Kluyveromyces lactis: one gene and its partner. The protein of the gene in region 2 purifies or fractionates together with the protein of the main gene of each other region. This does not show direct contact. Links are inferred from orthologs where the notes say so. Each region holds a gene or a part of one and is shown on either strand. Other genes may lie near its edges. The genes, in order: ASK1 and DAD3.

Region 1 (2,807 bases), on a different chromosome or scaffold from region 2:
ATTTACAGAGGTTTCAAATGAAACCCATTTTAATTTATTTTATACTTAGATTCATCATAGCGAATGGCGCAGGTATGTATGCGTTTCTTTGGTCCGCAATTCAAGGCTCTACAGGTTTTCCGTCATTCTCGAATGGTGCTTCCTTACGTGCTTCATCTAGAGCTGGTTTTATGCCTTGTTTCACCAAGCTAGCTTGGACACATTCCATATATTCGTACCATTCGGTTTGGCATTCGTTTTCAATTGACTCACCTTTCAAAAATTTCTCGCTGTACCAGTCGTTAAAACATTTATCGTACTTACCCTTCAAAGGTGTACACTCTGTAGCGAAACTTGCACTCATCACGTTACCCATGGTAGTTTTGTGGCGTATCTTGTATCGTATATGAATACTCACTTAGTCTCTGCATCGCACATAATCAGAATGTCAAATTCACCATGTAGAAATCCGATTGAAAACGAAGCTATAGAAGCATGAAACTAAAAAGGAAAGTATTATATCACGTGATTGTTCGTTCAGGTCATAGGATCTGGAACCCTGAGTAACAATGTATACCTCACACACTATGATATAGAAGTGAGTGGGGGAAGGCTAAGACAGAGCTTCAATCGCGTTTGCTGTTAAAATGAATAACGGTTCCCGGCTTGGCCAATTCGCCCTGGATTTTGTTATGTGTTTCTGTCCCAGTTTCTGTTTCCGGGGGGATCGTCTTTATTGGGGAACTGTTTGCAGAGATATCATTCTCCATTGAAGAATTAGAAGATGACGACGAATTGAAATGTTGGTGAATTTGTAACGAAACTTTTCTCTTCTTCCTCTGTTTTTCCATTGCACTATCCTGAGTCAACTCATCGGTATCCTGATCTTGAAATTGATCCTGTTTTACCGATCCTCCTGTTTTCGTGGTGGGGGCACCAGCGGAACTTACTCCGGTTTGAGATAAAGCAGGGTATTGATCGACTGTATGGAACTCATCAGTTTCGTTTTCTACCTCTGGAAATAAGGAAGTCCGGGGCTCCAAAACCTGACCCGCAGATTCCACAGCCTGATCCGTCACCAACTGAACATTAGCACTCTGCTGAAACATTTCTTTCAGCCACGAACTAGAATTCGTGATATCTTCACAAGTCTGTCCATATCGCGTCACGTACGGTATTATATCCTTTGTTATCTTGTTGAAACAGTACGAGAGGTCTGAATCGATTGATTGTAAATTTAACGTGATCTCTTGATCTATTTGTTCAATATTCACTGCATCCATGATGTAAAACAGGAAACCTAGTGTTAGCTAATTGGCACAGACTAATTGCGTCCTTTTCCTTGTTTACTGTAATATTTATAACAACGGACACCGCGTCCTGTTACCTGTAACCGTCACTATTTACACTTCCAAATCCAAATCCTTTCTGTCAAACCGGTTTGTTGACTTTTTGGTCAAATTCATATTTCCTCTTGTAACTCTAAGAAGAAATTTGAAATGACATAAAGAAAGTCTCTGCAATGCCAAGGTAACTTTCTGCAGATCAACGAAGAAGCGCTAGGCTGATTCGGATGAGGCTTACGATATTTCCAAGCTGAAAGTATAAACTAAACTACATAATACGTACTGATTCAAGGACACCGGTCACGTCTGCTATTCAAGGGTATCAATGGCTTAGAAGGCTCTGCCTACTCGGAGTGGAAAATTAGATATCATCCATTACGTTATCCATCCTTGCTCTTAAGCCTCGAAACCTATTAGTAAAGCATCGAAAGAAAACCTTTTTTTTTTACTGGAGCAAATATCGCAACAAAGCGCCCAGAAATCGCGCAGGGTGTCTCAAGCTAGTGTATCATCGAGCCGATTGACAGTTACATTCAGTGAATAGCAAGTTGTAATTTAAGGCATCAGTGACAGCATCACTGCAGTGCCATACACAAGCCATGCCATATAAAAGCATATATATATAAATATGTCAAATATAGTTTATATTGTTTTTTATTCGTGGAAGTCGGGTTTTAGATATATAAGGAAAAGAATGAGTATATTATACCAGCCGAATTTGACGGGACAAGGTCAACATAGCTCATTCCTTTAAAGAATATCACTGGTAGACATTCTCATAAGGATTGGATTTGATACAGGTATAAACGTAAACCGCAAGACTATACTAATATGTTTCCACGTCCAGGTAACTACTGGTTTATCTTTCCCTGGATAGCTTTCATTCCATGGTATGGGATGCTAATTGCGATGTTGGCATGTTGGGCAGGACAAGGTCATCCCATTTATTGGTTCATGCATACAGACCAGTTCCCGGTTTATATATCCCATATTGGTGCGACCAATTTAAAACCGTTGTTTATTTCTTGTGCGGCATGGCAAGGTCTAGGATACGTAATCATGGTTGCTCTAGAGTATTTTCAAAGATCTGGTCATTGGCCTTTCAAGTTACCGTATACTTATCATGATGACTTAGAAAAATCTAACGATAGCTCTATAATGGAATCGAACTACATCGAAGCTTTAATTCAGAAGAAATATGTCATGCCTCCATTTTTTACCAAACATGAACGGAATCTAGTATGGGCCTCATTCGTACTAGGAAGTATAGGTGAATTGGCTTTGCTTATGTGCACTATCTTCTCAACAAACACGTATCCTAGGGTGCACAGTTCCATGGTGGGTATATTCTGTGCATTTGTCGGATTGAGTGTAATTTGTCATGTCGCACAATATATGACAATGGGCAGACACTACGCTGTCGTCCATCCTCTTACAAGTAGTGAAGATATCGGCAAAGACACAAGGTGGAATGAATGGCAC
Region 2 (2,284 bases):
TGGTACTGATGGTTACGCTCGTGTGTTTTCCGGTTTCATTAAGGGATTGGATACCAAGGAACAAGTTGCTGGCTCTCCATGGGGTGAGAAATTCCCATTTGGTTCTTTGGTTAGAGAATGGTACCAGGGTGCCTGGATCCACGATATCAAATGGAGATCTTCCATCGATAAGGTCGCATTTGTCACCCACGATGGTTCCTTGAATATCACTGATTACACTGACGATATTAAGAGTGTAGACAACCCAGAAGGTCTTCCATTCATCACCTTATGTTGGATCAATGATCATGAAATTTTAGCAGCTGGTTTCTCAAATCATCCTGTTTTGTACAGCGAAGGTTCAAGGGGTTGGGAAGTGTCCAAGATTTTGGATAGCCCAGTTAAGAGTGCTGGCAAATTGGTAGCATCAACTGGGGATGATGAAGAAGAAGGTGCCTTCGGTATGTCCGCATTGAGAAAGTTCAAGGAATTGGATTTGAAGGGTAAAGTTAGCCAGCAAGAAGAGAAATCTACCCATGTGAACTCAATTACAGAATTGGCTGCTTACAAGGAATCTAACAACAACGTCACTCAAGTTTCTTCTGTTGGTTTGGATGGTAAACTTGTTATATACAAGTTGTAGATATGGACGGTAAACGATTCATCTCTTCATCAAATAGTTGATCAGATCACCCCTATAACTCTTACGTTCAGAGTGAGAATACAATAAAAAAGAGTGGCCTTAGAAATGAAATATGTATATCTATGTTCATATATATTAAAATGTAATGTTACAACTCTGATTATGATTACAATAATCAGTCCGATTCCGCTCATAGATCTGAAGGTTTTTGTTGGTGATCCATCCGTCGCTGTATCACGAGTGAATATACGCTACCTTTGAGAAGCGTACTTACAAGAGATATTTTCACTTCAATTTCTCGCATCTCTTGTAAAATTGCTTCCGGTTTTGAGTCCTCATGGGTGTTGTTTAGATCTGAAAGTGTTTCGCTCAATTCCCTTAAGGACTCCGCTAGGAAGCGATATTTATCGAGCACACTTCGCTGCAATGGTGTCAGTTCCGAAGACATATTCAAAACACAAATAGTATGTTTCTTTGTAATTTGTACGTAAGCCCAAACCAGTAATGGTTACCTTTGTTGCCTTACCTTACATATTCAATTGGAACTCTATCCGGTAAACTTATGATAACGTTATTTCATTTTTGGTATTTTCCAATATTGACGAAAAACATAAACGATCGAATCCTGAAAGAATAACAACTCCATCCTTCAAAGTAAGGAATACAAAGCCAACGATTTGAATACAACACCAGCGCTCCTCTATTGCACGAACATCCACTCGAAAACTCTAGTTTCAGGTGTATACACTGAAACAGCGATAAATTTTATTCGAGTAAACGGTATTCTTTTCTTTATTCATTTGTGTTCAATTTCAATAATGTCACAGCAGTCCTCTCAGCAACAATCTTATACAATTTGGTCCCCGCATGATACGGTGAAGGATGTGGCAGATTCACTCGGAATCTCAAATACAAATGATGACGTGTTGAGGTCATTGGCGATGGATGTCGAGTACCGTATTTTGGAAATCGTGGAACAAGCGGTGAAATTTAAGAGACACAGTAAGCGATCTACTTTGACTACAAGCGATGTTGCGAAAGCTTTACGTGTCCTTAACGTCGAGCCATTGTATGGATTCGAGGAAGGATCAGCGAAAAATGAGCCCGTTAAGTTCAATAAGTTGGAGGGCGCTAATGGGCAGACGCTTTATTACCTAGATGATGAGGAGATCGATTTTGAAAAATTGATCAATACTCCATTACCAGAAGTTCCAAGATTACCAACGTTCACGGCGCATTGGCTAGCGGTAGAAGGAATTCAACCTGCCATTCCACAAAATCCAAATATCAATGAACTAAGGCTGAGTCAAGTTCCGTTGCAAAGAGGAGCAATAGTCTCACCATTAAACGAAACTTCTGTTCAAACCTCTTTACAAACAAATGTCAATGAAGAAAGACAGGCCACCGCAAATGGACCTATCTCGACACAAGTGAAACCAGGTGCAGCAAGTGAAGCTAAGCCATTGGTCAAACACGTTTTGTCTAAAGAATTACAGATATATTTCGAAAAAGTTGCTAGTGCACTTACATCGAAGGAAGAAGATATCAATTCACAACGGATGAGAGCAGCAGCTTTAACTTCGTTGAAGTCTGACACAGGACTACATCAGCTTGTTCCATATTTCATACAGTTTATCGCAGAGCAGATTACTCACCATTTAG

Evidence for each region.
Region 1: the proteins of DAD3 (region 2) and ASK1 purify together in Saccharomyces cerevisiae (affinity purification with mass spectrometry; 3 studies listed by BioGRID, with this or other methods). This does not show direct contact. The link is inferred for Kluyveromyces lactis from reciprocal best matches to the Saccharomyces cerevisiae genes DAD3 and ASK1.

The regions. Positions count from the first base shown.
Region 1 is NC_006039.1:1,071,918-1,074,724, reverse strand, and holds ASK1 (Ask1p), read right to left. Parts: upstream 1,263-2,807; coding exon 606-1,262; downstream 1-605. Other genes in the region: MDM35 (Mdm35p), read right to left, coding at 101-355; SFK1 (Sfk1p), read left to right, coding at 2,157-2,807. UniProt on the Saccharomyces cerevisiae protein: Component of the DASH complex that connects microtubules with kinetochores and couples microtubule depolymerisation to chromosome movement; it is involved in retrieving kinetochores to the spindle poles before their re-orientation on the spindle in early mitosis and allows microtubule depolymerization to pull chromosomes apart and resist detachment during anaphase.
Region 2 is NC_006042.1:978,983-981,266, forward strand, and holds DAD3 (Dad3p), read right to left. Parts: upstream 1,071-2,284; coding exon 813-1,070; downstream 1-812. Other genes in the region: ARC40 (Arc40p), read left to right, coding at 1-622; TATA-binding protein-associated factor TAF6, read left to right, coding at 1,441-2,284.